2 linked regions of the Arabidopsis thaliana genome follow. The protein of the gene in region 1 purifies or fractionates together with the protein of each later gene. This does not show direct contact. Each region holds a gene or a part of one and is shown in the gene's direction. Other genes may lie near its edges.

The links. The genes of interacting proteins can lie anywhere in the genome.
Region 2: the proteins of PAD1 (region 1) and CPN60A fractionate together in Arabidopsis thaliana (co-fractionation; one large-scale study listed by BioGRID). This does not show direct contact.

What each region holds. Positions count from the first base shown.
Region 1 is NC_003074.8:19,029,072-19,033,670, forward strand, and holds PAD1 (20S proteasome alpha subunit PAD1), read left to right. Parts: upstream 1-1,854; 5' UTR 1,855-2,014; coding exon 2,015-2,187; intron 2,188-2,717; coding exon 2,718-3,132; intron 3,133-3,510; coding exon 3,511-3,675; 3' UTR 3,676-4,063; downstream 4,064-4,599. Other genes in the region: AT3G51250 (Senescence/dehydration-associated protein-like protein), read left to right, coding at 1-117, 392-558, 986-1,070, 1,194-1,371. UniProt on the Arabidopsis thaliana protein: The proteasome is a multicatalytic proteinase complex which is characterized by its ability to cleave peptides with Arg, Phe, Tyr, Leu, and Glu adjacent to the leaving group at neutral or slightly basic pH.
Region 2 is NC_003071.7:11,924,630-11,929,991, forward strand, and holds CPN60A (chaperonin-60alpha), read left to right. Parts: upstream 1-1,816; 5' UTR 1,817-1,973; coding exon 1,974-2,027; intron 2,028-2,341; coding exon 2,342-2,525; intron 2,526-2,622; coding exon 2,623-2,744; intron 2,745-2,818; coding exon 2,819-3,026; intron 3,027-3,111; coding exon 3,112-3,257; intron 3,258-3,339; coding exon 3,340-3,646; intron 3,647-3,731; coding exon 3,732-4,183; intron 4,184-4,267; coding exon 4,268-4,555; 3' UTR 4,556-4,859; downstream 4,860-5,362. UniProt on the Arabidopsis thaliana protein: Binds RuBisCO small and large subunits and is implicated in the assembly of the enzyme oligomer. Involved in protein assisted folding. Required for proper chloroplast development.

The sequences.
Region 1 (4,599 bases):
GTGTGGGGATGTAACTGTGGAGAGACTCAAGAAGGGAAACGAGGTTATGAAGAATAGGCTTAGTCGTGCTGAGAAGGAGAAAGATGTTAGCCCTGAGACACTGAGGAGAATCAAGAGGTATGGTTATACTTAGGAATTTTGCATCTTTGACCTTGAAAATAACTGCTTAGGAATCTAGTAGGGATTCTCTTATCTGGTTCCTTGTTTCATGATCATTAGAGAACTGAGTAGTAAGGGATGATTATTGTTTGCAGAAGACCAATTCTATGAGCAGTGATGAAATTTCTTGTTTAAAAATGTTTGAACATTGTGCATTCTCATGGTAGTATATCTTGAATGAAATCAATTTTTATGCCTTTGCTTATCTCCCTCATGTGGTTTCTATCTAAAGGGTTAAGAGAGTGACACAAATGACAGAGAAAGTTGCCACTGGTGTTCTTTCTGGTGTTGTCAAAGTCTCGGGATTCATCACTGGTTCAATGGCAAACTCAAAAGCTGGAAAGAAGCTTTTTGGTCTCTTGCCTGGAGAGATTGTTCTCGCATCCCTCGATGGATTTAGTAAGTAGATTACTTGTTTTTGGTTTCTCATATTTCCTATCCCATGCTTGGAGGGTCATAAAAGCTTCTTGATTCACGAGTTGCCTTGCTTTCTTTCATCTCACTTGAATACATGTTTTGACATGACCAGCATTACAATTATTGTTTATCCGACTTTCCCTCTGATGGCCATTCCCATAATTTTTCCAATTTTTCGAATATGACATTTAGCAGAAGTTCCTTGATATAGTGTATTAGTGCTTGGATCTGCTTCTTGCATTGAACAAGTTAGTCTGGTGGACTTTGGAGCATTATTCTTTTTGTGGGTTTTTAATTTCAAAGTTACCAAATGTTTTGTAATCGCTGGCTTCCCTTATATACCGAACCCTTTTTTGTTTAAGGCACATGGGATTAGTACCCTTCTTTTCATGTTTACTTCTTGTTGCAGGCAAGATCTGTGATGCTGTTGAAGTTGCTGGGAAAAACGTAATGTCGACTTCATCAACTGTCACAACAGAATTAGTCAATCACAGGTATTGATTAGCAAAGGCATATATAAACAATCACATATCTCCGCATGAGTGATCTTCAGCAAGAGTGATCAAAGTTTCCTTAGATCTTAAAGAAACCTCATGGATTCTGTTTCGAAATTACAGGTACGGCACAAAAGCAGCAGAGGCTACTAACGAAGGGCTAGACGCAGCGGGACATGCATTTGGAACGGCATGGGTTGCTTTCAAGATTCGAAAGGCATTTAACCCCAAAAATGTCATAAAGCCTTCATCATTGGCCAAGTCTGTTTCGGAACTAAAGGCTAAGAAAGGCTCCAAGTAAACACTAAACAGCCTTCAACTGTTCTGTGTTCATCTAAACTTGCATTTAGTTTTTCATTTTGGAAAAGTATATGAAGATTGATTGATGTAACTCTATATTTAGTTTTCTGTGTATATTGTGATTCTATGTAAACTATATAAACAGTTTCTTCCAATCTTCTCCCATTTATGGGTTTGATTTGTAACTTCTTAATGCATCGAGAAGCAGTATTAGTACTCTTTATCTTTCTTTTGTACTGCTATTTCTTACCGCTAACTCTCATCTCTGGTGACTTATCCTGCCTTCGTTTACCTTTTTTAGTGTTTGCTTAGAAACACTAATTGCACCTATGTTATGTATTCTACCAGATTAATTTGACAAAAAACAATGTTAGGAGTTTTAATGTTTTGAAGAAGTGGGCCAGATGTTTGGAGTTTTAGGCCAATGTAGCTCATCTTGGGCCCAGTACAGAAATAAATCCAGTGATGATTCTTTCTGATTGGCTGGAAGGTGTGTGTACGTGAACCTGTCCGCAGGTGATTAAAACAGAGCTGGGCTTTTGGCTTGTCGCCTAAGTCGGGAATCGTTTACTGTGAAATAAAAACGAGAGAGAGTTTTTGAAGAAGAAGAAAGAACACTCACAAGATCCAGAAAAAGGTAAAAGATGGCGAGATACGATCGAGCAATCACTGTATTCTCCCCCGATGGTCACCTCTTCCAAGTAGAGTATGCCCTAGAAGCCGTCCGAAAGGGTAACGCCGCCGTCGGAGTCCGCGGCACAGATACTGTCGTCCTCGCCGTCGAAAAGAAATCCACCCCTAAGCTCCAGGATTCCAGGTATTGCTCCGATCTCTACCGATACAAGATGCTTAAACCGGATTTAGTCCATTTACTTTTGTTTCTGCACTTTGATTTTGGTTTTAAGCTTCACCTGGATAGCTCGCTTGATTTACTCAATTGCTACTTGTATGATCACTGTTTCAATCCTTCTGAACTAAATCCTGATGTTGGGATTTTGTATCACTTCGTAATTGCGAATCTAGTATTGTTAGATCGTAGAATCTGAGCTGAACCCTAGTTTAAGTCTTTTTCTCTACGAGTGTACAATTACAGTTCCTGTATCTCAGACGTGTTTTTTTGTATAAGAACACGTTTTTGGTTATACTCTGCAAATTGATCATTCACTGCGTAAAAATATAATTTTGGTGTTGAACTTGCTGAAATCTAAGCAATATCGTCTTCGTATCTGTTGGCTGAGCTCTTGCTCCAATAGATCTGAGTTTTTTTACCTATTGTTATCCGTATATAGGATCTGGTTGGTGTTCCTTCCCAATCATATGAGTTTTGATAATTTTTTTGCTTCTCAGATCAGCAAGGAAGATAGTGAGCCTTGATAATCACATTGCATTGGCCTGTGCTGGACTGAAAGCAGATGCTCGTGTCTTGATAAACAAGGCGAGGATAGAGTGTCAAAGCCACAGGCTTACGTTGGAGGACCCAGTTACTGTTGAGTACATTACTCGGTACATAGCAGGGCTTCAACAGAAGTATACTCAAAGTGGTGGTGTGAGGCCTTTTGGTCTTTCCACTCTTATTGTTGGGTTTGATCCCTACACTCGTATACCCGCGCTTTATCAGACCGATCCATCTGGTACATTCTCTGCTTGGAAAGCTAATGCAACTGGGAGAAACTCTAACTCAATTAGGGAGTTTCTGGAGAAAAACTACAAAGAAAGCGCTGGCCAAGAAACTGTTAAGCTTGCTATCCGTGCTCTGCTTGAGGTTAGTTTGCTCTATCATGTTCTATAACTAAACCTTGTAGTTTTCTTTTGAGCTATTGTCGGGGTGCCCTGTTAGTGAATGTTCTATAACTAAACCTAGTAGTTTTAGTTGACAATGAGATCTGACCTATTAATTATTTTGCTGCGTGACCCGGTGATTTTGTGAGCAACATGCCAAACTTTGAACCTCATTATGATTCTTCATTATTTATAGGTGTGGCTTTAGGTTAAAAGTGAATGTTAGAGAATGTTAAAGTTTTTGAAAATGTAGAAGACCTTACTAATTGAGTTGGATTATAATGTTAGATGAGCTTACTTAGCAAACGCACAAGTAGTGGTGGAACTTGTAAAGAAGCTGAAAAGGATTTGCATTTTGCAGGTTGTTGAGAGTGGGGGAAAGAACATTGAGGTTGCTGTAATGACACGAGAGGAAGGTGTTCTGAAGCAACTAGAAGAAGAAGAAATTGATATCATTGTGGCTGAGATCGAAGCAGAGAAGGCTGCAGCTGAAGCAGCCAAGAAAGGCCCTGCGAAGGAAACATGAACCAGATCTTAAAGTAGCGGTCTCAGATTATGAGTTGTAATGCTGGTTCAAAGTCAGGGATATTCAAGGGTTGAATAGAAAATCTAGACCGCATGAAATGGTTTGTTGGATTACTAGCCTATTTGACACTGTTGCTTTAAATCTTAAATGACATTTTAGCGGAGTTTCGATACTTGTCAGTTGGAACTATGGCATGTTCAGTATTCTAGATGACTTTGCATTTGCGCTCAAGAGTTGTAGATTTTGATTTTGGAAACGTTGTTTCTTACTAAACATGTCTCTCTTCTTATTATCTCCATTGTGTAACTTACCGTTTTTACCATCTTTGTACCTCCATTAACTTGTTCACCAACGAATAACATGAAGAGAACAACATTACAAAGTGGAACTGACATAAACTATGATCACCAAAGTCCATAAGACTGCCAGCAACCCTGAAGATAGTTAGTTGTAGTTTGCTGAACCACAATGGTTTTGAATCAAACGAAATTCCATTACCAGACAACAAGATGCTAGCCCTTTCTTCTCTTTAGCTTTGTGTGTCACCATTGAGACGATTACCTCAAATGACGTAAAGGTATCCCCAATAAGGCAATAACGTAAAGGTAACGTTAATGATGTTAAAAATCTTGAAAAACAAAAAAGACGCCGTTGCCGGGGATCGAACCCGGGTCACCCGCGTGACAGGCGGGAATACTTACCACTATACTACAACGACCTCGTTGTTAGGATATCAAATAACATGGTATTAATACAATAGTATACAAAGATTTTTCTAAAAGAGAGTTGAATCTTGTGTCTAAAGGATTTTCGAGTTCACAAAAAGAATTTCCTCGCTCTACCGCCGCCGTCTCTCTTCTCTCAGGTAAGCTACTTCAGTTTCTCTGATAAACCTATTTTGCTCTGTTCTTGTCCGAAACTTTA
Region 2 (5,362 bases), on another chromosome or scaffold:
TGGTGAGTTTAGATATGTATGTAAACCGACCGTGGGAGATAGAGAGAGAGACTGAGAGAGACTGAGAGAGAATAATGATTGCGTAAAGCCGTAAAATCTGTAATGGTTTTTTTCTTGACGTATTAAGGTGGGTTTTATCAGTCTTTCTATTACACGGTACTGTACTTACTCTCTTAAAAATCTATTTTGTCGGTTTTTTTCCACGAAAATTATTTTCTTCTTTAAACTGATACACATGTATCAATATCCAAATGAAACACATTTTTATACAAATTGAAACATGCAATAAACTACGGAATATCTAAAAAACAATAAAATTAACGGCCCTAAAATTAATTTTAACTAAATTCTTTAATAAAATAAAATAAAATCATAAGTCTATAAAGTATTAGTTATTTTATGGTAGTTTAATGGTTAATAATTGTTTTTTCATATAGAACATAGGAATGTGGTTAAATTTCAGAATTTTAATACACTTTTAACTTAATTATTTGTTTATATGAGGCACTTTAAGTTTTAGAAAACTATAAACACATATGCAAAACATCAAACCAAATTATGTTTTTGCATGTCTTTTGTTGCATGCTCTATATATCCTAACTATTTTTGCTTAGTAGTCCACTAAATTGTTTCGTTTCAATCACAACCACTCAAGAAAATAATTACAATAGATTACTAAAACAAGTTAACAACAGTGTTATTTATTTACTCTTTTTGTCGTAATGCTTTAAATTACATGTCTCTTTCTTTTCATCGGACAACTGTTAGTGTGTTTTTTTGTACATCAGGACAACTGTTAGTTTACTCATGTTTTCTACATTGTACATTTTGGCAGTCAATTTTACGGCACGGTTTCCATTAAAGATATGGACGTCATCTTATGGTAAGCTGCATCTTTTGAGGAATAATACATGTAGACGTCCCTATTTATAATTTTTGTGTTACGTAACTTCCCTTTTGTTATTAATTAAGTGTGTTTATTTGGTCAATTCACTCAATCAAATCAAACCCAACGCCAAACTGCAACTATTTATGTGATTGACGCTTCAGAGTTGAAACTGCCACTTTTGTCAGATTTATTATCTCACTTCCCAACTTTTCTTTTCCGTAACTAGTGAATTTATTCATGGGAAACTAATTTAATGCATGGTATATGATGCGTACAACAAGCAATACTTATATGAAAAAAGATTTAGAAACAAATTGTATTGGCTTAACTAAATCAATTAATCATGTAGCAATTAGGTGATTTGGAGTCTATTCTCTGTTTAGAAAAGTAGTAACTGTTGTCTTTATGAGAGTTTCTGTTTTACTTAGCGGGTAAATCTACTCTAAGCTAGGTGTTTTCATCCACTTAACATGTATTTTATAATCTCATGGTTTTCACAAGTCTTAAATTGTACTTATTAGTTTGGTCTAAATATTACTCCCTTTGTTTCATTATATTGGATGTTTTAGGGATTTTATTTTGTTTCAGATTATAAGATGTTTTACAAGTTTAAATTTAAATTTAATTTGACTATTTGTGACTATTTATATTTTGCAGTTTTCATTATCATTTTTTTTAACAAAATCTAAATACTATTTTTTATATACAAAATGACCTAATATGTATCCATTTACCTTAAACCTCTTATATTTTAAAACAGAGTGAGTACATTCAGTAAGAGAATGGATAAAAACGAATTTGGAATACACAAACTATAAAAGTTTCTTGAGTACTGTTTCTATTATTGGGCCATAAACAGTGAGACAAACAGGCCCATAGAAGTAGGTGAAAAAGGCTTATTAAGATCAACGGTTCTCTCGTTACGAATGCAAAGAATCTTCTGGATCCTTTTTCTCTCAGCTACTCTCTCCATTTATCTAATAAACCCTAACCCCTCCTCCCACACTATTCGTTTACACTAACCACTTCCTTATCCACACCAATCCAGAACGTTCCTCAAAAAGCTCCCTCCTTTTCTCTCAAAATGGCGTCTGCAAACGCTCTCTCTTCCGCCTCCGTCCTCTGTTCTTCCCGTCAGGTACAAAGTTTGTTCCTTTTTACCTTCCTTAGCTACTTACTAAAGAAGAAAATGAATCATCTTTCATTACTTTGTTTTGATTGGATTTGACCCTTCAGTGTTATCTATTTTCAAAAACCTTTCTCTATCTGGTTTATTGGGTTTTTGAAGAAAGTGATTGAATTTGACCCTTTAGTTTGTTCTGTTTCAATTCAATTGCTTTTCTCTATTTGGTTTCTGGGTTGGTGAGAAAAGGTTAATTTTTATGGGAATTAGAAGAAACTGATTGAGATTAATGTTAATGAATCTGCTTTATTGATGTTGTGGGTATACAGAGTAAGTTGGGAGGAGGAAATCAGCAGCAAGGTCAGAGAGTTAGCTACAACAAGAGGACAATCAGACGTTTTAGTGTTAGAGCTAATGTAAAGGAAATAGCTTTTGACCAGCACTCTAGAGCTGCTCTACAAGCTGGTATTGATAAGCTTGCTGATTGTGTTGGTCTCACTCTTGGCCCTAGAGGTATTTGTTAATATTAGTAGCTCCTTTACTCTTTCCATCTTCATCTGTGTTATTTATCTTTCGACTTATCTTGGTGTTTTCATTTGTTATTCTTAAGGGAGGAATGTTGTGTTGGATGAATTTGGAAGTCCTAAGGTTGTGAATGATGGAGTCACCATTGCTAGAGCTATTGAGTTACCTAATGCCATGGAAAATGCTGGTGCAGCGCTTATTCGTGAGGTTGGTGTAGCTTTGTTATTGTCTCTGTTAATGCTATTTATACGGTGCGGTAATCTGGTGTTGTTATGTGGTAGGTTGCGAGTAAGACTAATGACTCTGCTGGTGATGGGACAACCACTGCGTCTATCCTTGCTCGGGAGATAATCAAACATGGATTGTTGAGCGTCACTTCTGGTGCGAATCCCGTTTCACTCAAGAGGGGAATTGATAAGACTGTTCAAGGTCTGATCGAAGAGCTTCAGAAGAAAGCTAGGCCCGTGAAAGGTCGTGATGACATCAGAGGTACTAACTTTGCAGTGACCTTCCTTGTGATGCAGCAATGTTTGATTTCTTTTACTGATCAATCTGTTCTTTTTTTTTTTTCCAGCTGTGGCTTCTATCTCTGCTGGAAATGATGACCTTATAGGGTCAATGATTGCTGATGCCATCGACAAAGTTGGACCTGATGGTGTTTTGTCCATTGAATCTTCATCTTCTTTTGAGACCACGGTCGAAGTTGAAGAAGGGATGGAGGTATGAGTTTTTTTGTCTTGCTTCTCTTCAACTGTAATTTTATTCACCATTCATTGCCAATGACTAACTTGATTATTTACAGATTGACAGAGGTTACATCTCGCCTCAGTTTGTTACAAACCCTGAGAAACTACTAGCTGAGTTTGAGAATGCTAGGGTATTGATCACTGATCAGAAGATCACTGCGATCAAAGACATCATCCCTATTTTGGAGAAGACCACTCAGCTTCGTGCTCCGTTGTTGATTATTGCAGAGGATGTTACTGGTGAAGCCTTAGCTACCCTTGTCGTGAACAAGCTTCGTGGTGTCCTCAATGTTGTTGCCGTTAAAGCGCCAGGATTTGGAGAAAGAAGAAAAGCCATGCTTCAAGATATTGCAATCTTGACAGGTATATGCAGATTTCGCGTGCGTTTAGTACTTTTACTTTCTCTCTGTTATGGTCTAAACTTTTTATCATTTTGTATGTTTTTCAGGAGCTGAGTACCTAGCCATGGACATGAGCTTACTGGTTGAAAACGCAACCATAGATCAATTGGGTATTGCCCGAAAAGTCACGATTAGCAAAGATTCGACTACCCTCATTGCAGATGCAGCTTCCAAGGACGAATTACAAGCTCGGATTGCTCAGCTGAAGAAAGAACTATTCGAGACTGATTCTGTGTATGACTCAGAGAAGCTCGCTGAGAGAATTGCGAAGCTATCTGGAGGTGTTGCTGTCATTAAAGTCGGAGCAGCAACTGAAACTGAGCTTGAGGACCGTAAGCTTCGTATCGAGGATGCAAAGAACGCAACATTTGCTGCTATCGAGGAAGGCATAGTTCCAGGTGGTGGTGCTGCTTTGGTGCATCTCTCCACTGTTATTCCCGCCATTAAGGAGACTTTTGAGGATGCTGATGAACGTTTGGGAGCTGACATAGTACAAAAGGTAGCATTTAGTTTTTCGGTTCAGTATTTGTTCTGTAACCAATTGTGACTAGTTATCTTATAAGGGTTTATGTTTTGAGTTCAGGCATTGCTGTCACCAGCTGCTCTTATTGCTCAGAACGCTGGAGTTGAAGGAGAAGTTGTTGTGGAAAAGATTATGTTCAGCGATTGGGAGAATGGGTACAACGCAATGACTGATACATATGAGAATCTGTTCGAAGCTGGAGTGATTGATCCGGCTAAAGTGACAAGATGTGCGCTACAGAACGCTGCTTCCGTAGCAGGAATGGTACTGACCACTCAGGCCATTGTTGTTGACAAACCGAAACCCAAGGCTCCTGCTGCTGCTGCTCCTGAGGGTCTCATGGTGTAATCAAAACACAACATCTTATCATCACAATGGCATCTTTGTCTTTTTGCACATTTGTCATCCCCATTTATCTGCAATGTTTTTCTTTTTTGGGGGAATATGAGTAGTTTGTTAACAGTATCGAGAAATAATTATCATCTTTTTTGTCCAATGGAAATTGCAGAAAATGGTTATGTATGCGACCAAACATTTTATATGTAGCGAGAGTAGTTTAGCAGAACAATAAGCAAATATGCGTACAAACTGAATAATGTTCCAACTTACTATACTATTAAACTAGGAGGGAACAATGTTTTTTCATGCCTTTACTAGTTTTCTCATAAAACTTGATCTGGATATTGCACTTCGATGATCTACGAACCATTAGCAGATCTCCGGTGATTCGATACTTCTCCTTGTCGTTTATTGCACAGGCACGAACTTTGACAAGCACAAGACATGACAGTTTCTCTATGAAATGTCTCATTTCCTCTAGCTCTTCAATTGTTCCTTCATATTCAGTTATCTTCAATACTTTCACAGGACATCACAATCCATATATTCTTGTAAAGTTAAGTATATATACAGGGAGATCAGACTCGTTGGAACCACTCGTACTTTGACTTGGAACTGCTCCAAAACTAAAAGAATTTTTGGTAGATGATTATGTATGTATCCTTCTCTTCCTCCTCTTCTTGTTCTAGCTTTGATGGACTAAAATACTAGTCAAAATTTTGCTTAATATATACCCCTTATTGCTTCTCAGAGATATATCTACAAAACCGAGGATCTTCCATTTTGATGGAATCAACCGAGTCTTGTTCCCGGATG